Linked DNA regions of Canis lupus familiaris. The protein of the gene in region 1 purifies or fractionates together with the protein of each later gene. This does not show direct contact. Links are inferred from orthologs where the notes say so. Each region holds a gene or a part of one and is shown in the gene's direction. Other genes may lie near its edges. The genes, in order: CLGN, SLC12A2, PTPRU, SLC12A6, SLC30A1, SLC9A6 and TCTN2.

Region 1 (3,500 bases):
ATTAATATGGTTGGATATAAATTATGCTTATTTTCTTTTCTTACTACTTGTTTTCTGTTTGTCCCATATATTCTGTGGTCCTTTATAAGGTATTTTTTTCCCTAAATTCTTTTAGATTGAGTTATTTTGTTTTCTTTTATTTTAGTCTCCTATTTTTTCTTTTCTCTTGGCATATTACCTTTTCCTCTGTGGTTTACTGTTTTAGTGTTGCTGTAAGTTTTATGATATTCATCTTTAACTTATTTCAGTCTACTGTCATCATACCACTTTACATCTAAGTTAATCTTATAAGGGCCTTATATTTTCCTCTTTCATGCTGCTATCATACACTTACTTCTATCTATACTATGAAGGCCACATATATTTATTTTGCAGTCAGTGTCTTTTGATCAGACAATTATTAGGGGAAAAGTTCTTTTATTTACCCTCATAGTTATCATTTCTGGTACTCTTCTGTAGATACACATTTTCATCTGTTATTATTTTCCTTCTGCCTAGTAAACTTCCCAACATATTGTGACATATGTCTGCTGTCATTGAATCCTCTCAACTTTTAATTATCTGAAACTTTATTTTACCTTAATTTTGGAAGGCTGTTTTTACTATTGAATTGCAGGTTGATAGTTATTTTATTTTTTAATTTATTCATGAGAGACACAGAGAGAGAGAGGCAGAGACACAGGCAGAGGGAGAAGCAGGCTCCAAGCAGGGAGCTCCATGTGGGACTCCATCCCAGTCTCCAGGATCACACCCTGGGCTGAAGGCGGAGCTAAACCGCTGAGCCACCCAGGCTGCCCCATAGTTATTTTAAAACCATAATTTCTTGCGTTGTCTTGAGGAAGCTTGAATTGTTTCTGATAAGTCAGTTGTTATTCTCATCCTTTTTCTCCTTTACCTAATATGTAATTTTTTCCTGTTTGGTTTTAAGATTTATTATTACTGATTTTCAACAGTTTGGTTTTGTGTATATGTGTTTGCTTTGGTTTACTTTGCTTCTGAGCTTTTTGGCATATAGCTGTATAGTTTGTATCAAATTTGGGTAATATTTGGCCATTATTTCTTTAAATATTTATATGTGTCTCCCCTTTCTTTGGAACATCATGTAAAATGTATGTTTACATTTACATGATGTCACAGGTTACTGAGGATCTATTCATTTTTAAAAAGATTTTATTTGTTGGGGGGGCAGGAGCAGGATGAGGAGGGGCAGAGGGAAAGCAGACTTCCTGCTGAGCAGGGAGCCTGATGAGAGGCTCAAGGCTAAGTCCCAGGACTCTGGGATCATGACCTGAGCCAAAAGCAGACTTTAACTGATTGAGCCACCCACACACCCCTGTTCATTTTTTAAACCAATTTTTTTTCTCTCTGCTTCATTTTGGAAAATGTCTACTCCTATTTCAAATTCTTACTTGTTTGTAAACATTGGGGTTACTACGTACTCAGAAATAAGAGTGTTGCTTCTGGATAACCAAAAGTGTTTACTTGTTAACTCTCTTGTAGATAAAGAGAGATTCTGATTAGTGATAAAAATGTCTTTGCCTTCAAGCAAATAGTATAATAGGGAAACAACCTTTATAAGGTAGGAAGAACAGTATAGTTTTTTAAAAAACTAATAAAAAGTCACTTATTAATGCATAACTTTCATGAATTCACTTTCAGAAAAGGGTAGGACTACAATCCTTCATGTGGATTGTCTTACATTGCTTCATATTTGTTTACCCATAAAAAGTAAGGCTGAGAAAGAAGATTGCCCTTAAATAAGAGAAATGGGTTATGATAACCTTTTTCCAATTGGTGATACCTGTTAGAATTTGTTTTATAAACTGCTAAAAGAAATGTTCCCTTAAAATTTTAAACTCTAATAGTTACTCTGAACCCTGACAGACTTAAGATAACATTGATATCAGGCAAGTACAAGTCTTTAGTTACAGGGAGTTGATTATTTGAGTTTATCTTACTTAGGTTTGTTTGAAAAATCATACTGTAACCTCTTGTTTAAAATTTTTACTTTTCTATAAAGATGAAAATTATCATTAGGAGTTCTATTCAGTACTTAATATGATTATTTTTATATATTTTAGAATTTGTTTTCTAAGTGTTTTTAAATGAAAATACTAAATTACGGGACACCTGGGTGACTCAGTGGTTGAGTGTCTGCCTTTGTCTGAGGTTGTGATCCTGCAGTCCTAGGATCAAGTTCCACATCAGACTCCCCACGAGGAGTCTGCTTCTCCCTATGCCTGTGTCTCTGCTTCTCTCTCTGTGTGTCTCTCATGAATAAATAAATAAAAAAATTTAAAACAAATTATAAAAAATAAAAAGTGACAAGTTAGCAGAAGATTTTGGCGAATGAGAGATGGGGGAAGTAGCAGGCACAAAAGACAGAAGGGTAGGAAATACCGGTTGAATATCTTCTGAATTTTGTAACATATGTATTTTTAAACTTTTTGAATAATTAATACTTGGCACAAAATACTCTATTTCCAGGGATGAAAGTGAACCTGCCCAAATAGAAGATTTAAGTGTTGTTAAACCTGATGGCTGGCTTGATGATGAACCAAAATTTATTCCAGATCCAAATGCTGAAAAACCTGATGACTGGTAAATATTCTTCATCTTCAAATGTCAATTTCTTTCTTGCTTTGTGCTACTAGTTCATGTGACTTACAGGAGAGACTTGAAGCTACTATACTTGAGGTCACTATAAATGCATAGATACACATTTTCGTCTGTAAAGCTTTTATGTTGAATTTTTTCCCCTACTTTCCTAAGGAATGAAGACATGGATGGAGAATGGGAGGCACCTCGTATTTCTAATCCAGCATGTCGAATTGGGTGTGGTGAGTGGTCACCTCCCATGATAGATAATCCCAAATACAAAGGAGTATGGAGACCTCCAATGATAGATAATCCTAACTACCAGGTAATAACCACTTCTTCCAATTCCACAGTCAAGTTTAAAATGCTGTGATATTTCTATTCTGTATCTAGTTGTTATTAATGTCATGTTGGGAGACGCCTGGGTGGCACAGTCGGTTAAGCCTTTGGCTAAGTTGTGATTCCAGGGTCCTGGGATTGGCTCCAGCTTCCTGTTCAGTGGGTTGTCTGCTTTTCCCTATCACTCCGTCAATACCCCGCTTGTCCTCTCTCTTAAATAAATAAATAAATAAATAAATAAATAAATAAATAAATAAATAAAATATTTTTAAAAATAATGTTAACTTTTAGAAATTTGATTTGTAATAGTATGCATTAACTATTTAAGAAGTCAAAGAAAATAGACTCCAACTAATTTATATTTAAAAAGTAAAGTATTCTTGGGGCACCTGGCTGGCTCAGTCCATAGAGTATGTGACTTTTGATTTCTGCCTCATGAGTGCAGGCCCCATGGTGGGCATAGAATTTACTTTTAAAAAATTTTTAAGTATTCTTTATGTGATTTTCTGGGGGAATAATATTAAGAACTAAAGATCAGTGACTTCATACTATATTTTTCCCTG
Region 2 (4,067 bases), on another chromosome or scaffold:
ACCCACCGCATCTCCGCGGGAGTGTTTCTGGTTATGCAAATCTACCGCGGCAGGCGGGGAGGCGGCCGCCTCAAAGGCGGCTGAGAGGAAATCCTGCCTCCCCCCCTCGGCTCAGGCCCGGAGCGGCTCAGGCGCTGACAGCGGGCAGTGGCGCGGGCCGGCGCGGCGAGCCGACCTCGCCTGGGGGCGCACCTCGCCGGGCGGCCCCGGAAGCACCTGCGGGCCCGACGGGAAAGCCCCCGGCGTCACCCACGGGAGCGAGGGGGCGGGGGTGCGGCCGGCAGCTCGAGCGCCGCCACGGGTACCACACGCCTCGGGTGAAGCGGCCCCCGAGCCCTGCAGCATCTCGCGAGATCTCGCCGGCTCAGCCCCAGTACGGCGAGCTCAGAACTTAAAAAAAAAAAAAAAAAAATTTTTTTTTTTTTTTTTTAAAGAAAGAGAGAGGATTGGAGAGAGCGAGCGAGCGAGCGAGCTCCTGGTGCCTCCGCTGTGGCAGCCACTGCCGCGGGAGCATCGGGCGCCCGCCCGCGCGTTCGCCCGCCGGGCCGGGCGCCGTCCGCCGTCCGCCGTCCGCCTGCTCTGACGAGGCCCGGGCTGTCGGCCCATTGACGTGCAGCCCCAGGGGCGGGGAGAGAGGGAGGCGGCCGGGGGCCTTCTCCTCTTCGCCGCAGAGGAGGCGGGGGAAGGAGGTGGAGGGGTGGGAGGAAGGCGACGGAAGAGGAGGTAGCGGCGCGGAGATCCCGGCGACGGCGCTGAGGCGGCGCGCCGCCGCGCCTGCTCCCTGCTCCCTGCTCCGGCTCCGGCTCCGGCTCCGGCTCCTGCTCGCGCTGCCGGCGCTGCCCGCGCTGCCCGGACCGACGCGGTCCTCGCGCAGGCCGCTCTCGCGTGGGCTCCGGCAGAAGCCCGGGAGGGCCGGGGCGCCGGGGCAGCGCCCGCCGCGCGACACTGCGGGACCGCGGGGGGGCGGGCCGAGGGGCGGAGGAGCCGCCGACCCCGCCTCCCGCGTGCTGCCGCCCGAGCCGCCGCCGCCGCCGCCGCGGCCCCGCCGAGGCTTTAAACGGCGCGGCCCGCCCCGCGCCCCCTGCACTCGCGCGCCGACTCGGCTGCCGGCGGCGTTCGTGCGGGTCGGGCTAGCGGCGGCGCGGCGGCGGGCGGCTCCGTCACCGTCACCGGGCGTTGCGGCCGCGGGCTCCGCCGGCGGGGGGCGCGGAGGGCGTGCAGCCCGCGGCGCCGCGGGGCTCTCCGAGTCCGCCGCGGGCGGGCGGCGATGGAACCCGGGCCCACGGCGCCCTCCTCCGGCGCCCCGAGGCTGGCTGGGGTCGGGGAGACGCCGCCGGCTGCCGCGGGGGCCGCGGGCGCGGGCGCCGGCGCCGGCGTGGAGCTGCCCGGCACGGCCGTGCCCTCGGGGTCGGAGGATGCTGCGGCCGGGAGCCGGGGCGGCGGCGGGGTCCGCGGGGAGGGCGCGGCGGCGGCCGGGGACGGACTGGGCAGACCGCTGGGCCCCACGCCGAGCCAGAGCCGCTTCCAGGTGGACCTCGTTTCCGAGAATGCCGGGCGGGCTGCGGCGGCCGGGGCGGCCGGGGCCGGGGCCGGGGCCGGGGCCGGGGCCGGGGCCGGGGCGGGGGCCGGGGCCGGGGCCGGGGCCGGGGGCAGGGAGACCCCGGCGGACGGGAAAGCTAGCGGCGAGAGCGGGCCGGGCAAGGGCAGCGAGGAAGCCAAGGGCCGCTTCCGCGTGAACTTCGTGGACCCGGCCGCCTCCTCTTCTGCCGACGAGAGCCTGTCGGACGCGGCGGGGGTCGCGGGCGACGGGCCCAACGTGAGCTTCCAGAACGGCGGGGACACGGTGCTGAGCGAGGGCAGCAGCCTGCACTCGGGCGGCGGCGGCGGCAGCGGCGGCGGCAGCGGGCACCACCAGCACTACTACTACGATACCCACACCAACACCTACTACCTGCGCACCTTTGGCCACAACACCATGGACGCCGTGCCCAGGATCGATCACTACCGGCACACCGCAGCGCAGCTGGGCGAGAAGCTGCTCCGGCCCAGCCTGGCCGAGCTCCACGACGAGCTGGAGAAGGTGAGCGCTCCCAGCCCTTTCCCCGCAGCCCTCTCGCGCCAGCCCTGCCTCATCCCCAACCTCTGGTCCTCGCTGACCGCGGGATGTGGCCGCCGCCTCGCCACGGGTGAGTGAGGTGGCGGGAACGGACGTGCACGGCTCGTGGGCATCTCTGCAGGCAGCTGTCAAGGCTGGAATCGCGGAGGAACGTAACTTAACCTCTTAGAAGTTTGCAGCGGGCTGAGCCGGTTAGGGGACCGGAGAGGGACCGGGTTGAACAGCCTTCACCGTCCACTTGCGTGTGTCCCTCGTGTATGCTTGCTTTCTCACCCACGCTTAGCCATCAGCCATCCCTCCTCCGAATGACAGTTGTGCTGGTGGGCCCGGGAAGGGTGTGTGCGGATGGTTTCGGTGAGGATTTACTCTCTGGGGAAGACAGTGGAGGGCCCCCACCGCCTGTGCCCTTTTTAGGGGTTGTGTCGTATGGCTTATGTGCGTGCACCGGTTAGGGGTCCCGAGAGTGGGAACCGTAGTGTTTGAAAGGAAGATCTTAACAGGGTGTGTTTGTGGTCTGTGGATTATTAAAGCTCAATTCCTGCCATCTTGAATATGCAAAGGATCAAACAAATCTTGGGATGTGATGATGTTCCTGATCATGGCATAAATCTGTGTTTTATTACGTAAACTTCTTGTGAGAGGACTATATAAAAAGTTGGGAGGGTGGGCAAAGTGCAAAATAGGGTGAGGAGAAAGGTACAAGGTGAGAAAGAGAAGTAAGGGAATCGTGGGGGTTTTGTTACTGTTTTGCGTGTGTGGAGAATGTCCAGAAAGACCTTCTAGGGTCTTGCATAAGTAGTTATATTTGTGAACAGAAAACCATCCCCAAAAGTCTATTGATTTATACGATTCTATTTTTTTATGGCCACATCATCTTTTTATTTCATCAGGGTATAAAATCATTGTTTTGAGATAACTTCAGTGCTTCTGAAACTTGATTAATATTTAACTTTTAGGAGTTGGGACTACTTTAACAAGTGTCTAAGTGACTACGCTGATGAAATTTTGTGAATGGAAAGAGTTGGTACCACATAGGATGATGATCACAGTGTGGAAAAGTTTAAATACAGAACATAGGCAATTTCTTTGTAGGTGATTATTTGCTCTCATACAGTCGTTTCATTCGAGACTGTATTTGTCCTAGTGTTTGATAATGTAACATTCATACGATTTGAAATAATTACAGAGGTCCCAATTCTTGCAGCTTGCTGATTCTTTAAAAGCCTGACATTCAGTTTTGGATAATACTACTCCTGTTACTCCATGATGGTATTTTGTCATATCAGAAGACAATTTTTAAAACACTTATTTGTCCTCCTCTAGTTTCTTTCAAATTTATTATTTTTATCCTTGCCAAATTCTAAGCCTCTGTAAAGTAGATGTATAGCTGGTAATTTCCCTTCCAGTATATAGCATATATATTATTAAAAACATCATAAAGCCGTATTTCAGATTGCACCAAAGCTGAGTAGTTAAGTAGTTAGTCTATATTTACCCATAAGTTTTAAAAAGGGTTTTTAAATTGAAGGATGTTAAATATCTTGAACTTGTAAACATCCTAGGAAAGTTTTTATTTTAAATTCTCTCAACAACAAAGTACTTCAAGTTTGAACAACAAAGCACTTCCAGGTTCTCCAAAACTTGAGAGGTTTTTTTTTTTTTGTTTGGGCATTTTTGATCAGTTTACAATCTCTTAAAAAGAACACTTGTATTGTTAGCTGTATAGTTGAAGCAACTACCCAACCTATGAGCCTCCTCTTCCTCAGCTTTCAGGGTTATTTTGAAGATTAGGAAAAAAAAAAAAAAAAAAGGGGGACATCAAGACCCATGTTTACTGCCTAGAGTATAATGGCTTGTATCGTTATTATTTTGATCTATATTGGTCTTTCAGGTAGCGCGTCAACTCTAGGATTTCAAATTTTAAATTCTCTTAAGGGATCCCTGGGTGGCG
Region 3 (2,859 bases), on another chromosome or scaffold:
TGGTCCTAGTGGGAGAGACCCCTCAAAATGGGGGCTGGGGGCCTAGGCCATCCCCCCTCTCCCAAGGGGAACCCCACACCCTGATGTCACAGGGAACAGAAGAGGGAGAGGAGACGGGATAGGAAGTGTCTCTGTATGTTTGGCTGCCGGTTTGCCTCGGAGTGTGAGTGTGTGCGTGAATTTTCACCACGTGTCTGTGTTGCTGGGGGTGACTGGTGTTTGGGGTATTCATTTTCCATCCTGCTCTCTGGGGTTTGCTTGCTGCTCTGCTGCCCTCCTTCGTCTGTGTCTTTGTCTCAGTGGCATTCTCTCGGAGTGTATCTAGCCTCCTTTCCCTCAGAACCTGCTGTCTTCCTCCTAGAGGCTGGCTCCCTAGCTGCCCCCAGGCTTCCGAGGCCAGTCCTAGTGACTGAGCTCCCAGACCCCACCCTACTGGGTTCCCTTGGCCCCTCCCGTCCCTTCTGGGCTCCCTGACCCCACCCTCCTGGGTTCCCTAGGCCCCGCCCCTCCCATCTGGGGCTCCCTGCCCTTCCCTCCTGGGTTCCCAACCTCTCCCCTCACCTCTGTGCTCCCAGATCTCTCTCTCCTAGGTTTCCTAAGCCCCGCCCCTCCTGTCTGGGGTTCCCTGGCTCTGCTCCTCACCTCTGGGCTGCTTGTCCCTGACCCTCCTCCCTCTTGCTTCCCTGGTCACTTTTGATGTTCCAGCCCCAGGCCAACCCCTCCTGAGCCCCACCACAAGCTTTCTGTGTGTCTCATTTAGAAATGGGGGCGGCCGCAGTGGTACCTTCTGCGCCTGTGCCACAGTCCTGGAGATGATCCGCTGCCACAACCTGGTGGACGTTTTCTTTGCTGCCAAAACACTTAGGAACTACAAGCCCAATATGGTGGAAACCCTGGTGAGAGACCATGTCCCCTTCCCAACCACTTCCAGCTTCCCAGGCCAGACCCAGCCAGTCCCTTGGCACCGCTGTCCTCCACCTGGCTCCCCCTTTTTGGGCTTTGGGCTCTGATCTAATGGTGCCAACACAGTTATACCCATTTGACCAGGGCTCCTACTTGCCCTCTGGGCCCCCATTATCCCTTTCCGTGATACCAGAGAGGGACCAGGCTCATGATTCCTTCTCTCCCTCTCCCCAGGATCAGTACCACTTTTGCTATGATGTGGCCCTGGAGTACCTGGAGGGACTGGAGTCAAGATAGCGGGGCCCCTGGCCTGGGGCCCACATTGTGCACTCAGGGCCAGGCTCAGCACTGAGGACGAAGACCTGTGCCCCTAACTCTGCTCCACTACAGCTCCCGCGGGGAAAGCACTAGGGTGGGCACTGTGCCACCTTGGTGCTCCCTTCCACTGTGGGCAGGGCCTCTCACCATGTCGGATGGGCAGGCTGTGGGCCAAGGAGGAGCTTAGCAAGACTGCAGCGTAGCCCACCTCCACAGGGTCCTACAGGCCTGTGCTGTGAGTCTGGCACTGCCTGGTAGAGTGACAGGGGCTCAGAACTGACAACTCGAGAGGACCCAGGCTCAAGCTCCTTGACTCCAGGCTCAAGCCCCAGACTCTGTCCCAGCCCTTGGCAGAGATGAGCGAGACCCTGCAGAGCCTGTGGCTGGCCAAGGTTTCCACCTGGCAGTGTGGCTTCCTCTTGACATGGATAGAGGGTGCACTGGGGCTTGGCATCTGGAATCCCACCTGGCCTGGCCCCTGAGGGTCCTGGGGAGACTGGGCACATCAGACTCGTCCTCCCCAGATGGGACTCTAGCCCCCTCCACCACCCTGCTGCCCCCTCATCAGCCCTGGGGATATTTTGCTCATGATGCCTCCCACTATGACTTCCTTGATGTGTGCTCTGAGCTTCCGTGAACTGGGATCTGCCCATCCCTGCCCTATTCTCTGTGGGGCCCTATCCCTGCCTGACCCAATGTCTTCAGAATGAAGGCACCTCAGCCCTTCTTCCTGTAACTTTCAGGCCTCACTGGTGGGTCCTGCTCAGCCTAGGCCAGTGACAATCTGCAAGGTTGAACAACAGCCCTTGGGGTTGAGGTTCCTGTGGCTCTGGGTCAGGCTGCCCCCTGAGGACGAGGCACTGCTAGATCAGGGGTGCTTCCAACTTCTACAGTTCAGTGGAAGAACATGTATTTTGGGTTGGAGGAGCAATTCCTTTTTGTTAATTTCATTATTTTTTGATGGGTGGGTGGGAAAATCTCTTTAAAATGGGGCAGGCCACACCCCCATTCCGTGCCTCAATTTCCCCATCTGTAAACTGTAGATATGACTACTGACCTACCTCGCAGGGGCTGTGGGGAGGCATAAGCTGATGTTTGTAAAGCGCTTTGTAAATAAACGTGCTCTCTGAATGCCACAGAGCAGCCTTGTGTGTGTCTGACCAGCCTGAGTGGGGCCTGCTCACCAGCTCCCAGCCCCCTAGTGCTTTGGGAGGGCTCTGGGCTGGGAGGCAGAGGCCCTGGGTCTGGTCAGGCCTTGGTTTTTCCATTCACAAAATGGTGGGGATGTGGACCAGAGCATGGGTCAGGGGACTTTGACCTGTAGGGACAGGTTCCAGAGAACTCTGTCTATTGCTGCCTCTACCCAGGCCTCTGAAGCAGCTCCTCAGTCAGTGGGCTTCATCCTGAGACCCCTGAGGGGCACAGAGCTGCCTCTCACCCATGGGGGCCTGGATCTGGGTTGAGCTCTTTTGGGGACAGCATGGGAGGCTCAGGCTTTGGTATCAGGTCGATGAGCCTCCCCAGCTGTGAAACCCTGGGTAAGTCAGCTCCCTCTCTGGGCCTTGGTTCCCATCTGTAAAATGGGGATGACCCTGATAGGATCAGAAGAGGTCATGACTAAGTGCCTTGTATGGCACC
Region 4 (3,500 bases), on another chromosome or scaffold:
AAGACAAGTACATGGCATCCCGGGGACAAAAGGCTAAGTCAATGGAAGGATTCCAGGACCTGCTTAACATGCGTCCGTAAGTTTTGCAGCTCACAAGCTTATCACATAACGTGGTATCCTAGTCAGAGTGGCACATATGTAACTCTGCCTGGATACACAGGATGAAGTCCGTTCTTCACATCACCCCAGATCCAGCCTCTTTGTTATTTGCCTGTGCCTGTCAGCTACCAGTTAGTCTTGTACATAAGCTAACCAGCCTTCTTTCTCACCATACTGTGTTCCTGGCATAAAAGAAGCAAATGTAGAATGAGAAAATCCAGGATATTAGCATAAGGAAAACATTTGTTCATTACATTATTCATAACCAAAGTAAAAAAGCTCTGTATTTCATGGTGTTTAAAGTTGACTGTGTGTCTAGCTTTCACTTTGCCTTAACCACCTCTGTTTCTCCCTTCTACCCATCCAGGGACCAATCCAACGTGAGGCGGATGCATACAGCAGTGAAACTCAATGAGGTCATAGTTAACAAGTCCCATGAAGCAAAGCTGGTTTTGTTGAATATGCCAGGGCCACCCCGAAACCCTGAGGGTGATGAAAACTGTATCCTTTCCAAGAGTGGAGCTACCAGTAGGGAAGTCGTTAGTGGTTCTGAGATGCGACCACTGAGTAGCCTTAACATCACTGTCTGTGCCCACATTCGTTCTTGAGAAGGGAAGGCTGTTGAAAGCCTTAGGCAAGGATTCTTACACAGCAATGAGATTGAGCCCCTCTGGGGGAGTTGGGTGTCCATAGACTCTTGAGGTGGTAACTCTGCAACATGATTGCTAACACTCACAGTACAGAACCCTTTCTGAAACAGTCCTAGAGACACAAGACCCACATCCTTTTTCCTTTTCAGGCTTCACCCACTTCGCAAAGCCTTTCTTGTGGATGTAGTTAGGGGAGAAGCAGTTTAAGTGAAATCTTCTCAGAGGGGAAAAAGATAAGGGTTTTTCCTCATACCCTCATCACACCTCATTTTTTTTATGGGCCCCCTTCAGAAATGCAGTGGTGTAGACTAGCCCTCTCCCATCAGTACCATTAAGGAAAAGAGATTAAGGAAGAAAAAGAACTGGCAGAGAAAACTGATTTGAGCAGCTCCCTTAGAAATTACTTGGGTTCTCTAGCAGTCTTAGGAGCTGCCCTGTGTGGCTTTTCTCTTTTGGCTTATTTTACTGTGTTGTACACACACATTACTTGTGAGTTCCCTCATTTGTAAAATAACATTTAGAACAAAAATCTAACAAATGAAGGTCTTGTATTATATACGCAAAAGAACTAGATCCCTGGATTAGTTCATAGGGGTTAACCGAATCCAGAGTTCAGACTTCTCCCATTCTGAGCAGGTAATAATTAAGACAAGCATGTTAACTTTGCAGCGTTGTAGTCAGACAAACCCCGATTCTCATGACGTCAGGCTGTAAAGTGTGCTCTTCTCCTTGACAAATTCTGAAGACATGGAGTTCCTAGAAGTGCTCACCGAGGGACTAGAGCGAGTCCTCCTCGTCCGAGGTGGTGGCAGTGAAGTGATCACCATTTATTCCTAATCTACTCCTGAAGACTCTGCCTTTCTAAAAGGCCTCCCCTTTATAAAAGGTTTCTGCATAGGAAGCCAGCTCCTTACTACCACTTCCATCCAGTAGAAGCTGGGGTTCTGTACACAGCACATTGAATTTCTTGACAGGCTGAGCCTCAAGTACTTGTGCAGAAAAGTACACGTCGTTCTGCTCTTTGCTACCATACAATCTCCAGTCCTGACAGGAACAGCAGGTATTTCCTCAACTTCAGAACACTGGTCAAGTCCTGAAAGCCATGTCTGGCCTAGCTGAAGACAAATTAGAATTAACAAGCTAAACTATTAAAATGAATTGGCAAAAGGGATGCTAGAAATTCAGCTGAAGACAAAAAGCAAGTACATGTCCTATATTAAAGGGGCATCTCCAAAGTCACAATTCAGTGATGACACCATGAGGGTAAAAGAGACACAACTCATCGTAATACAGACTACATGGCTAAGTATGTGGGGACCTAACATCGTTGTGGGATATCCTGTGGCAAACCAAGATGAAAACCTTTTTTAGCTCATTTTCTTTGATGTATCCACTCCTCTCAAGGACTCTGTTTTATATTAGAGTACTAATATACAAACACTGAAACATGGCTGCAGCCTCTAATTCTTCCTTCAAAACAAGATTCCCCCAAAATACCAGTTTCAAGGACAGATTGTGTTGGTCTACATGTCAGCTGGTTCTCAAAATCCATTCCATGGTTAACATTGTAATACAAGCATTGTTATCCTGGAAATTGTCTTTTAAAGGTGGAGTAAAAAGGATATCTTTCAGGTTTTCAAATGGCCAAATTAAAGTTAACTCCAAAAGGTAGCTATTAAGATCTACTGAAAGTCTTTGGTTGCCTGTGCATCGTGGGCAGTACATACAAGCTGTTACCTAGGACATCTAGGTGACGATGCACCTTGACCAGTAGTTTCTCCTCTCCTTTCTTTTTTGCCCTCTGGGTTAGTAGACAGGTCCAGAATCCTAGGAATAAAGACTAGCTAGAAGACTCACTGAAATCCCTGAAAGCGTGGGACTGTGTTTTAAAGGGGGAATCTAGCAATGGAATTTGAAGTTCTAGAGCCATACTCCTTCCACAGTGCCAAAGATTGAGCTGCTGCTACTCTCCCTGCCTGCCTCCCTGAAGTGGCACAGGATTGGCACTGGCCTGTCAAGAAACTTCTTTTTCACTAAGAAACTGTGGACTCATTTCCAAAGCCATAGCAAAGACATAAGGCCCTCAGCTCACCTAAATACCCAGAGTCTGAGCATTTTTCTTTTTTCAATTTTATTCTTCATTGGGACTGCAGGAACTTGGCTCTGAACTAAGATTATCCAAGCCAGCAGTCCTCTGCTATTCCATTTGCTTTCAGAAAGCTCTCAGCGTGTCAAGGAAATACTTGTGCAAGCTTAGCTTTTTATTTGCTGGTCGTAAAACATTCACTGGTTGTCTTCATTTACTGGTCATAACACACCAGGCTTTCAAGCATAGGGAAACTGCTTCGATTGGTAACTGAAAATATGTGAAATGTTCATTTCTTTTATAGGACAAGTATTTAGAGAAACTATTTTGCCTGTATTCATGATCACTTTTATCACTTTATTAATGATAAATAGTGCCACTCTTTTTTCCATATCCTATTGGATATGGAATAAGCAAACCTAGGTATCAGCAGATTATTCATTTGAACCTTATGGACAGAGGAGAAAACCCTTCAGTATGGCTTAGAAATTGAGTATTTTGTTTCCTTTGTTCTTTTTTTTCCAACCTCAAGACCTAGTCAAGGTAGCAAAGCAGACACAAGTTTTTCTTGCTCCTCACTGTAGAGGGTAGAGGCATTGTTTACAGCTTCCACTGTAATACTCTATTGTTTAGTTGAGTCCACGGTAGTGGGACAGGTACCCTAG
Region 5 (3,934 bases), on another chromosome or scaffold:
GACTCTTTTTATGACCTGCTGACTTTTAGGTTAAGGGTCAGCCGAAATACCAAGATGGCTTGACTTCGGTCAACTCGCCTCCCGAGCCGTCCCTTCACCCACCACGTGGACTCGGCGCGGAGGATCAAAGTCTGCCGGCCGCCCGGCCCCCGTGGGCGCGCGGGGCGCCGCGAGGACCCGCAGGGCGCCGGCAGCCGCCCCGCCGCGCCCCGGGGGACCGCGCCCGCCCCGCCCCGCCCCGCCCCGCCCCCTCCTGCTGCACGCGGCCCGCGCCCCCGACCCTCCCCCACGACGCCCGCCGCTGCACCCGGCCGCGGCCCCCGGCCCACGCCCGGCTCCCGGAGAGGAAGGCCCCGCCCCCATCTGTTGGCGCCTCGGCCCCGCCCCCTCCCGCCCCCCCGAGCCCCCACCCAATGGCGAGCGCGGGAGGGCGGGGAGCGGAGGCTGTCGTGAGGGGGTCCCGGCCAATGGGGAGGCGTGCCGGGCCTGGTGGGCGGGGCGCCGGGGCCTTGTCACGCTCGGGTCCGTGTGAAAACGGGGGTTCCGAGTGCAAAGCAAAGTTTTTTTGTAAACCGTCTGCAAAGGCGGGGGGGCGAAGAAGGCGCCGGAGACCGGGCCGAGTGCAGCTGCCGGGGCCGCCGCCTTTTTAGCTCTTCAGGCGTCAGCTCCGCGGTCCGAGTCCCAGCGGAGGAGACCAGCGGCGGGAAGACCTGCGCCGAGAGCCCTGCAGATGCTCGCAGCCTTGGCAGCGCGGAGCTGCCCGTCGCCCGCCCCCGCCGCCCGCCCGCCGCCGCTGCCGCTCCGGCTCTTCGCCCCCCGGCCCCCGGAGCAGCCCCGGCTCCCCGCCGCCGCCTCGGCCCCCGCCGCCGCCGCCGCCGCCGCCGCCGCCGCCGCCCCGCTGTGGTGTGGGGGCTGCTGGGGCTGAGCCGGGCCTCGGCGCCGGCCCCGAGCACGGCCGCCTGAGCAGCTGCGCGCCGCCCGCCCGCCCGCCCGCCGGGGACGCCCTCGGGCGCGGGGGCGCGGCGGCCTGACCCCGGGGCTCAACCCCGCCCGGCCGCGCAGCCCGCCCCGCGGCGCCCCGCACCCCCCGCCCCCCGGCGCCCCCCGCGCCGCGCCCCCGCCCGAGCCCGCGCCCGCGCCCGCGCCGCCAGGGCAGCCGCCGGCCCGCAGCCATGGGGTGCTGGGGTCGCAACCGGGGCCGGCTGGTGTGCATGCTGCTGCTGACCTTCATGTTCATGGTGCTCGAGGTGGTGGTGAGCCAGGTGACCTCGTCCCTGGCGATGCTCTCCGACTCCTTCCACATGCTGTCGGACGTGCTGGCGCTGGTGGTGGCGCTGGTGGCCGAGCGCTTCGCCCGGCGGACCCACGCCACCCAGAAGAACACGTTCGGCTGGATCCGGGCCGAGGTGATGGGGGCCCTGGTGAACGCCATCTTCCTGACCGGCCTCTGCTTCGCCATCCTGCTGGAGGCCATCGAGCGCTTCATCGAGCCGCACGAGATGCAGCAGCCGCTGGTGGTCCTCGGGGTCGGCGTGGCCGGGCTGCTGGTCAACGTGATGGGGCTGTGCCTCTTCCACCATCACAGCGGCTTCGGCAACGACTCGGGCCACGGCCACTCGCACGGGGGGCACGGCCACGGCCTCCCCAAGGGGGCCCGCGGCAAGGGCGGCCGCGCCGGGGCCGGCGACGACAGCGAGACCCCGGGCGAGCAGAGGCCCGACGCGGAGGAGACCAACACGCTGGTGTCCAACAGCAGCAACTCCAACGGGCTGAAACTGGAGCGGCCAGGTGAGCGGCCGGGGAGGGTGACCGCAGGTGGCCGGGCCGGGGGACGGCGGGACCCTCGGCCGGCCCGGGGCGGGAGGGCCGCACGCCCCCTGCTGCCCGCGCCGCCGCCGTCCGGGGCCGCCGTCCGGGGCCCGCGGGGCTCTCGGGGACCCAGGGCGGCGGGGGGCAGAGGGGGCGGGGGGGGGGGGACCGTCCACAGCCGCCCTCGGGAGCCGTCTTCCCGAGAGACTCTCCTGATCGGGGTTTCCACGGAATCCAAAGTGCTTCCTAATTCAGTTTCCTGCCCCCGACCCCCCACCCCCACCCCCACCCCTTGGGAAACGGAGAGAATCCCCACCTCATCCTGAGTTGTTGGCCGTCACAAACCTTGCCCTGCCCGAGTAGTTCCTGTGCCCTTCAAACAAGTTTCTTCTTTTCAGAGCCCCCCTAGCCATGGACTTCCCTCACCCCAAAAGCCCGGTGAAAGGTGTCTTTTCCGAACGGGCATCGTGTGTGTGTGTGTGTGTGTGTGTGTGTGTGTGTGTGTATTTCACTTACTTGTCTCCAGTCTGAGCCTAATCCTGCAGATCCTAGTTCAGGACCCTGTTTGGTCATGTTTTAACCTTTCACTCCGGACTTTGGAAAATCATACTATAAAATAAGCCTGACGGTGACTTCCCTTATTCCCTTTTTACTGGATGCTTCCCCCCCCCCCCCTCTAAATATGATTACTCTTGAAAGCAATTTGGAAAATGCTGAAAGAAAAGAGATGGGGAAAAGGAATCGACCAAAGCCCAGCTCCCCAAGCTCTGATGATGTTAATAATTTGGTGTATTTCCATCCAGCCTTTTTCCGCTTATATTTATTTGTTTAGTCGGATGATACTACTTGTTCTTTCTTCGAGGTGCAGGATATCACGTTAATGAAATTGAACTTGTACATTGAAAGGTTTACTAAACAGTTGAATTTCCCCTTACTCCCCCTCTGCGAGGTCTTATTCCAAAGAAAACGAGGCTGCTCTGGTGTGTAGACAGTAATTCCTTTAAAAGATGGGTACGTTTGGTTTAAGAACTGGTAGGGTAGATAGTGATCGTTGCAGCTTTTCCTGAAGTTTATGATTGTTGATGGGCTCATATTGCTGATTTGTCGTTTCTAAACACTCCACCAAGAGACTCTTTTCTTGGTTTCTGTTCATGATAAAAGTTAAGATTTAGCTACAACACCTTAATGACAAAGAGGGACCAGAGCTGTGTGTCAAATCAGGCATTTGTAGTAGACTTCTTCCTAGTTGCATTTAATTTGTGGGTGATAGCATTCGATTTTACGTTTTCTCTTGCATATGCCGAAAAGTAGAGCAGAATGTACAGGGGACCCCACCCCCACAGAAAAGATGAACTTTTTTTGGAGGTGGGAGAAGTAGGGGGCTGGTTTGGAGAACGGGGAAGCACTATCTCCTTAAGGACTTGATTTTGCCCTGGCTTGTTCCCAACATGTCAGTTTATATAATAAACTGTCCTGGGCACGTTTTAAAAAAATTTTATTCCATGAAAAATGTTCACCTCTTTCACTAAAATGGACTTGAATGAAGAAGTTTGTATAAACACTGCTAATGTATTTGATACAGCGTTTTTCCTTTCTTTATAGATCCAGAAAAGTCTAGAAATGATGCAGTGGAAGTACAAGTGAATGGGAATCTTATCAGAGAATCTGACCATGTGGAATTGGAAGATGACGATAAGGCTGCACAACTTAACATGCGTGGAGTTTTTCTGCATGTCTTTGGAGATGCTTTGGGTTCAGTGATTGTAGTAGTAAATGCCTTGGTCTTTTACTTTTCTTGGAGGGGTTGTCCTGAAGGGGAGTTTTGTGTGAATCCATGTATCCCTGACCCCTGCAAAGCATTTGTAGAAATAATTAATAGTACTCATGCAACAGTTCATGAGGCTGGTCCTTGCTGGGTGCTATATTTAGATCCAACTCTTTGCATTGTAATGGTTTGTATACTTCTTTACACAACTTATCCATTACTTAAGGAATCTGCTCTAATTCTTCTGCAAACTGTTCCTAAACAAATTGATATCAAAAATTTGATAAAAGAACTTCGAGATGTTGAAGGAGTTGAGGAAGTTCATGAATTACATGTCTGGCAACTTGCTGGAAGCAGAAT
Region 6 (2,613 bases), on another chromosome or scaffold:
TCAGGGCCCATGCTAATGACTTCATCTTAACCTGATCATCTGCAAAGACCCTATTTCCATGTAAGATTGCATTCACAGGTACTGGTGGTTGGGATTTCAACATCTTTTGGGGAGATATCATCTAACCCATAACAACCATAAAACTTAATTTTTAATGTTATTTTTCATTTAATTACCTACTTTTTTAGTTATAAAAGTTACCATACTTGTGGCCAGATATTCAAACAGTATGGAACAAAGTGAAAAATCAAAGTTTGCTCCTTCTCCCAACTACATCCCCCCCAGAGGTAGTCTTTATGAAGGATTTATTGTGTGTCCTTCCTGATATATTTTATCTGCACAAACATACATGTCTATATAGCTTAGTTACAGTTTTATATAAATGAGATCACAATTGCATTGTCCTGCTACTTGTTTTTTTTTTTTTCACTTGATGACATAGCATGGCTACCTTTCTATGAGTACCTGAAGACCATTACCTTCTCTTTATCCATGGCTGAATAGTGTGGCTGGACCAGCATTGATTTAATCAGTCTCCTGCAGCTAGACCTTTAGGTTGTTTCTTTTCCTTTTTTTGTCATTACAAACCATGTTTATGGGTAAAGGCACCCCAGAGCTTTGTTGTGAGTATTACTCAGGAAGGGGACAGACCCTAGTGAGCTTTCACGTTATACTGCACCAGGCAAGAGGGCATTCTGGTTGGTTGGTGGAATGAGTTTGTTTCATTTTTAATTCACATGGCTTTGAGTATTTAGGCAAATTTCGAGCAATAACAAATTAAAACTGTTTTAAATTTGTATCAGTCTCCTTAGTCTATCTTAGACAAATTTAAGATTTCCAAACATAGCTTAGAAGAGCTGGATGTCAAAGTTTGTATCAACTCTACTTCTCTGAAGGAGTATTAGTCACAGAAGCTTTTTTTGCCAGATCCATAGGAGTGTTTAGAATGATTGTTTCACTTTATATTAGAAAACAATGACTTTTGGATTTTTAAAAGTCATATGTACTTATTATAATAAAATTTCAAACAGTGTGGAAACATAAGATAAATCACTAGCAATTTTATTATGCAGAATTAATGATCATCGTTTTGTTGATTACCTTTCCAAACTTTTCTCTGCACGCATAACATTCTTTTATTTACCAAATTGGCATTACATATGCTTGATTTTTCCCCCTTTTGTAGAACTTTACTTAATTCTACTCTTTTGGCCACAAAGTCTCCATTAGAACCAAAAGCTTATTGAGCTGGAACACAAGTATATGGTGAGGGTTCAGCATATTTGGGGGATATTATATCTCTAGGCATTGTTCATATAGAAGTAATAGCTTCACTTACATAAATCCACTCAATAATCCATCAGACTTACATTTGGAGGATACTTTCTGTGTGCCCCTACCTGTTAGGTGTTTGGACTACAGCAAAGGGGCTCAGAGGCTAGTAGTGTGAGATGTGAGAGCAGACCAGTGCACCTGCAGTTGTGGTACAGGGATAAAGGGCACTGTAGGGCCAGGAGTCAGCACAGGATGCCGGGAGAGAACACAGGAGGCACACTGAAGCCAGCTTTGCTAGATCATAGAAGACGTCCAGCAGGAAGGGACTTCCTTTAACTAAGACCTCAGTGATAAACAGGCTCTATTCCCAGGAAGGAGGGCAGGGAAGACAGGAGGTAAGAGGAAGCATGAGTGATTTGGGCACCTTTCAGCAGTTCAGACGGCAGGCATACAATGTGGAGGCTGGAGTGGGTGAGGCAGATGCAGGGGGCTGGGGGTGGGGAGGGGAGGGCCAGACTCACGCAATATCTTTAAGCTAAGGTGAGGGCTATAGGCTTTATCCTGAGGGCAGCAGGCTAGCCCTAAAGGGTTTTTAATAGGGAATCCTTGCAAATTCTTCTATTGAAAATGTTTGTTGAGTCGCATAGCAATTCTTAAGACTTATTTTATTTGCATTTAGAACCAGGAGCAATTGAAAGACGATGACTCCGATCTTATTCTCAATGATGGTGATATTAGTTTGACATATGGGGATTCTACTGTGAACACCGAATCAGGAGCATCTGGTGCCCCTAGAAGGTTTATGGGAAACAGTTCCGAAGATGCCTTGGATCGGGAGCTTGCATTTGGGGACCATGAACTGGTCATTCGGGGAACACGCCTGGTTCTTCCTATGGATGATTCCGAACCCCCATTAAATTTGTTAGATAATACGAGACACAGTCCAGCCTAAGCTTACTAATACTCCCTTAGTGATTTGTAAAATTTGCACATGTGATTGTGAAGAAATTTGTACTACCTAAAAAGTCCCAGTGCATGTCTCTGAATGTTTAAGCTATATAAATGCTCTTTATATGGCATTGAGAGAATATAAATATCTGTACAAGGCAGATTGTGAACAAACTATTCTTTTACATTTCATTGGCTGCACTATGTAGATTGGATCTGTTTTAGAAAAAAGTTATTTTCACAGTGATGTTGTGTGTTCTGTTAGCTTTATGTCTCAGTTAAAGTATAAGAAGTGACAGATTTACTCTTTACACTTACCTGATACTTAACTAGAGTACCAAGTTCTTGTGCCGTGAATTAATTTTGTTTTGTGGGAGGGGAGGGAGAGGA
Region 7 (3,994 bases), on another chromosome or scaffold:
ATCCTGTCAGGGAGGGACTGTTCTCTCCCTTCTACAGATGAGGAAACTCAAATTCGGAGAGGTTAGGTGAGCTGCCCTAGGTCACCCTGTTGTGCCCAAGATTGTGAATCCGAGAAACCACCAAGGAGCTGACACCGATGCAAACACATGAGCGTTTATTTACAAGCTTGAGCTTGGGTCCAAGTGCAACACACACAGCGGAGCAGGGACTTGGACCGGGAAGTGGGTTACAGCTGGGTTTTTTATGGGCTGGTCTAGGGGATCTTCAGAAGGGGTGGAGGAATTTTTTCCATTCCAATATGGGGGAAAGGGTGGGGGAGTTTCTTAAGATCTGATAAGGGATTCTCTGCGGAGGGCATTCTGAGCTTTATGGTCTTTCCGATATGGGATTCCCTGCCGAGGACATTCTGCAGTTTTTCCTGTAAAGTTCAGCTCTTATTCCCAGGGGACTAAGATGCCTGTACTTGTGCTAATGCTAAACGTGAGGTGGAATGGCCTTAATTTTTCTCTGCCTCCACAACCCAGTCGCGGAAGGAGGGAGAAATCCCACAGTGATCCCATAGCCTGCACCCCTAGTTGGATTACAGTAATATGGTGTGAGATGCTTTGAGGCTATTGACATAGCATTCAGACACTTTGGCAACCGTCCTAATGCTGGGCAAAATACTTTGTGTTCTTTGAAAAGATCTGCCAATGGGGAGACTTGGTGGCTCAGTGGTTGAGCATCTGCCTTTGGCTCAGGGCGTGATCCTGGGGTCGTGGGATCCAGTTCCGCGTTGGGCTCCCTGCAGGGAGCCTGCTTCTCCCTCCGCCTGTGTCTCTGCCTCTCTCTCTCTCTCTCTCTGTGTCTCTCATGAATAAATAAAATCTTAAAAGAAACCTGCCTACAAGCGCTTATGGCTCCGTGCGGCAAAAACAAGCAACACAAAACTCTTCAAAAAATTGGGAGGATAAAAACAATTCAACAGCGCTGCAGTTACAGCACGGCAGCCCCACCCCCTTTTTTGTCCTCCCAAAGTGCCCATAAAAGTCCAGTTTATTAAGGAGCTTCTTCAGGAGCCAGCGCCCGTAGGCTCGCTCTTGCCGCGTGACTAGCTGGAGGCGAGGGCACCGCTTCCCCTTCGCCATCCCCGCGTGGAGACGCCGGGGCGCAGGCCTGTGGGCGGGGCTCTGAGGCCCGCGGCTGATTGGTGGTTGCCATAGCTCCGGCTGGCTTCGCAAGATGGCGGCGGCGGGGCGGCGCGGGCCCCGGCTGCAGAGCTCCCCGGCTTCCGAGGTCGGCGCGGTTCCGTGAAGCGAGCCCCCAGGCCTCAGGCATGGGCTTGCCGCCGCCGGCCCCCCTGCTCCTGGGGCTTCTCCTTCTGCAGGGCGTCCTGAGGCCGCTGTGGGGGGACCTGGGTGTGTACCGCAGGGCCGGGGCCTGCAGGCCGGGGCGGGGGCGGGGGCGGGGTTGGGAACGGGGCGTTTAAGGGGCCAGACTTGGGACCCCTCCCGGAGTCCTTGCAGCTAGTAAATCCACCCTTCCCCTTCTTTCCCGCCTAGTCTTCATCCCAGCTTTCATCCGCATGACCGGCCCCGCGGCCAGCGCGTCCCTGGTCGGACGCACGGAGGATGTGACCGTGTCCCTGGCCCTGCTGCAAGACAAGGAGGGTAAAGAGTCCGGCCCTTCCTGTGGGGAGGGTGGGGCTGGGCGGCCCACGGAGCCTGGCCACGTGGCATCCTGGGAGGTGGCATCCTCGCGGCGCCGGCCGCCGGCCACTGCAGAGTCGGCGTGGGAGCAGGGATGGGGGGCCGCTGCGGACCACCGCTGGCCGACCGAAGGGTTCGGTGAAAGCGAGCTTGGGGCCGCCATGGCTAGCATCCACTGAGCTGTCTGTCCCCTGTGCTTTACGTGCAACCGTATTTTCCTAGTAAGAACAGTAATATCCTTTCATGTCCTTTAACAAATGAAGACACTGCAGTTCAGAGAGGTTGTCACTTGTCCAAAGTCGCACAACTTATGAACGGCCCAATCCTCATTCCCTCCTAGGGAGCCTGAGTCCAGCATGCACCCCCTTAGCTGCTGGGCAATCCCGCCTTGCATCCTAAACTTCTCTCCTATAGGGTTATTACCGGTTCCTGCTTGTGGAGTGCTGACGAATGAGACAGGAGAATGGAGCTTGACTGTGACCCCTAGTGTGGTAAGGTCAGAGGTAAAATGTCCTCGGTTAGCACTCATGGACACCTGCAGTTAGTGTTTCTGCAGGGCTTTCTTGGTTGGTTAAGATACATAGTTTTCCCTCTGCTTGGAACTACCATGAAACTGTAGGTTATCCGTTCCAGTGGACACCCACCCAACTCAGTGGGGCTCACCCTAGATTCAGGGATCCTTGGACAAATTTCAAGAAGTTTGTGAACCCTCTGAAATTGTCTGTAATGTTATTTGTGTGCCTGCATTTTTCTGAGGAGAGGGTTGCCAGCTCACATCAGATTATCAAATGGATCCATGACTCAAAAATCTTCATAGCCACTGGCCTCACCCAGCTCTGATCTTACATGTAAGAATACTCAAGCCCAGAGGAGTTAAATATCTTCCATTTAATAAATGTTTTATTGAGTGCCTAGTATGTGCAAGACATCAAATTTGGAGATAAAGGCTGAGAAAGGCAGACTTTGCTTATACTGCAGGAACTAGGGACTGTTTTCATTGACTTGTGTGTGCTTTTCATCTGCTGATATGCTGGTAGGATGATAAAGTCTCTAAAAAGGTGCTGGGCATACTGAGTTAATTTACCTGACAGACCTATGTTTAGGCTTCTCTAACTCTCCAAAAGTTGCTTGCTTTTCTGTTAAACTGAGGATTAGGAATCAGGGCTTGCATACTGCCCAAGTTTACAGGGTAGGATCAAATGATGTGATCTTTGTATATAGTTCTCCTTTTTCAAGTGAACTGAAGCTGATATGTAATTTTATTGTGTTTTCCATTATGTGTTCTTAGAATTATTCGTGCTATGTTGAGTCACTTTATTTATTTATTTATTTATTTATTTATTTATTTATTTATTTATTTATTTATTTATTGTTGAGTCACTTTAAAAGGGACAGCACGTTTTCCTTTCAGAATGCATTGGATGTGACAGTGAGAATGAAGAGGGGTCTGCAAAGGTGTTTCTCTGAGACAGATTCCTTCTCAGAGTCCCCGTGTATTGTCCAGACTCTTCTGGTTTCAGCATCTCGCAATTCATCCTGCTTAGCACATCTGCTCATTCGAGTGGAAATTTATGCCAACTCTTCTTTGGCCCATAATGCATCAGGTTAGTAAAGTCTTTGACAATCAAAACATTCATGCCAGACATTATCTGTCAGATTATAAGCATATGACATGCAATCTGTGCACTCTGCTCTTGAATCAATTTTACCTTTCTAAAAAAACAAAACAAAACCAAAAAAACCCAATTTTACCTTTCTAAACATACTTCCTTTTTGCTTAATTTTCTTATTTTAGAAATTTATAATTTGTACTATTTTACTTAATTAAGACCTATTTTATTTTGTGCTATTGTTCATATCCTTGTAGATTACCTTCAAGGGAGAAAGAGAAGTTTGTTTCTGTGTATTGATTCTTGTGACTCCATCTTAAAACCAAAAACAACAACAACAACAAAAAAGAAATGAGGGAAAGATTAATGAAGTTTACAAAACAAACAGAAAACCCACAATAAATTTTCAGTCAAAGTTGCCTTTTCAGAGGCAGCCTCTTAATTTCCGCTTATGGAGGTGTGTGATATTCTCTTGTTTAAAAACAGTACACACACATGCACTAATAACATGCAATTTACTATTCTATTCTATACCTTTTAAAAATAAATTCCATATAAATGTAGGTTCACCTATTTTTTTTAAGAGCTGCATAGTATTCCCTTGTGCGGCGATACCATTGTTTGACTAGTCTCTTACTGATGGCATTTAAGGCACTTCTAGCTTATGATGTATAACTAGCACTATAGCAGATATC

What was found.
Region 2: the proteins of CLGN (region 1) and SLC12A2 purify together in Homo sapiens (co-immunoprecipitation; 3 studies listed by BioGRID and IntAct, with this or other methods). This does not show direct contact. The link is inferred for Canis lupus familiaris from reciprocal best matches to the Homo sapiens genes CLGN and SLC12A2.
Region 3: the proteins of CLGN (region 1) and PTPRU purify together in Homo sapiens (affinity purification with mass spectrometry; 3 studies listed by BioGRID and IntAct, with this or other methods). This does not show direct contact. The link is inferred for Canis lupus familiaris from reciprocal best matches to the Homo sapiens genes CLGN and PTPRU.
Region 4: the proteins of CLGN (region 1) and SLC12A6 purify together in Homo sapiens (affinity purification with mass spectrometry; 3 studies listed by BioGRID and IntAct, with this or other methods). This does not show direct contact. The link is inferred for Canis lupus familiaris from reciprocal best matches to the Homo sapiens genes CLGN and SLC12A6.
Region 5: the proteins of CLGN (region 1) and SLC30A1 purify together in Homo sapiens (co-immunoprecipitation; 3 studies listed by BioGRID and IntAct, with this or other methods). This does not show direct contact. The link is inferred for Canis lupus familiaris from reciprocal best matches to the Homo sapiens genes CLGN and SLC30A1.
Region 6: the proteins of CLGN (region 1) and SLC9A6 purify together in Homo sapiens (co-immunoprecipitation; 3 studies listed by BioGRID and IntAct, with this or other methods). This does not show direct contact. The link is inferred for Canis lupus familiaris from reciprocal best matches to the Homo sapiens genes CLGN and SLC9A6.
Region 7: the proteins of CLGN (region 1) and TCTN2 purify together in Homo sapiens (affinity purification with mass spectrometry; 3 studies listed by BioGRID and IntAct, with this or other methods). This does not show direct contact. The link is inferred for Canis lupus familiaris from reciprocal best matches to the Homo sapiens genes CLGN and TCTN2.

The regions. Positions count from the first base shown.
Region 1 is NC_049240.1:3,153,950-3,157,449, forward strand, and holds part of CLGN (calmegin precursor), read left to right. Parts: intron 1-2,487; coding exon 2,488-2,601; intron 2,602-2,772; coding exon 2,773-2,923; intron 2,924-3,500. UniProt on the Homo sapiens protein: Functions during spermatogenesis as a chaperone for a range of client proteins that are important for sperm adhesion onto the egg zona pellucida and for subsequent penetration of the zona pellucida.
Region 2 is NC_049232.1:17,053,209-17,057,275, forward strand, and holds the start of SLC12A2 (solute carrier family 12 member 2), read left to right. Parts: upstream 1-1,267; coding exon 1,268-2,080; intron 2,081-4,067. UniProt on the Homo sapiens protein: Cation-chloride cotransporter which mediates the electroneutral transport of chloride, potassium and/or sodium ions across the membrane. Plays a vital role in the regulation of ionic balance and cell volume.
Region 3 is NC_049223.1:70,679,004-70,681,862, reverse strand, and holds the end of PTPRU (receptor-type tyrosine-protein phosphatase U), read left to right. Parts: intron 1-760; coding exon 761-896; intron 897-1,137; coding exon 1,138-1,200; 3' UTR 1,201-2,359; downstream 2,360-2,859.
Region 4 is NC_049251.1:1,127,315-1,130,814, forward strand, and holds part of SLC12A6 (solute carrier family 12 member 6), read left to right. Parts: coding exon 1-76; intron 77-466; coding exon 467-600; intron 601-1,494; coding exon 1,495-1,586; 3' UTR 1,587-3,500.
Region 5 is NC_049228.1:9,811,904-9,815,837, reverse strand, and holds the start of SLC30A1 (zinc transporter 1), read left to right. Parts: upstream 1-1,134; 5' UTR 1,135-1,172; coding exon 1,173-1,788; intron 1,789-3,411; coding exon 3,412-3,934. UniProt on the Homo sapiens protein: Zinc ion:proton antiporter that could function at the plasma membrane mediating zinc efflux from cells against its electrochemical gradient protecting them from intracellular zinc accumulation and toxicity.
Region 6 is NC_049260.1:107,407,472-107,410,084, forward strand, and holds part of SLC9A6 (sodium/hydrogen exchanger 6), read left to right. Parts: intron 1-1,954; coding exon 1,955-2,227; 3' UTR 2,228-2,613. UniProt on the Homo sapiens protein: Endosomal Na(+), K(+)/H(+) antiporter. Mediates the electroneutral exchange of endosomal luminal H(+) for a cytosolic Na(+) or K(+).
Region 7 is NC_049247.1:6,206,203-6,210,196, reverse strand, and holds the start of TCTN2 (tectonic-2), read left to right. Parts: upstream 1-1,194; 5' UTR 1,195-1,316; coding exon 1,317-1,398; intron 1,399-1,542; coding exon 1,543-1,650; intron 1,651-2,103; coding exon 2,104-2,192; intron 2,193-3,024; exon of another isoform or gene 3,025-3,100; coding exon 3,101-3,293; exon of another isoform or gene 3,294-3,402; intron 3,403-3,561; exon of another isoform or gene 3,562-3,994.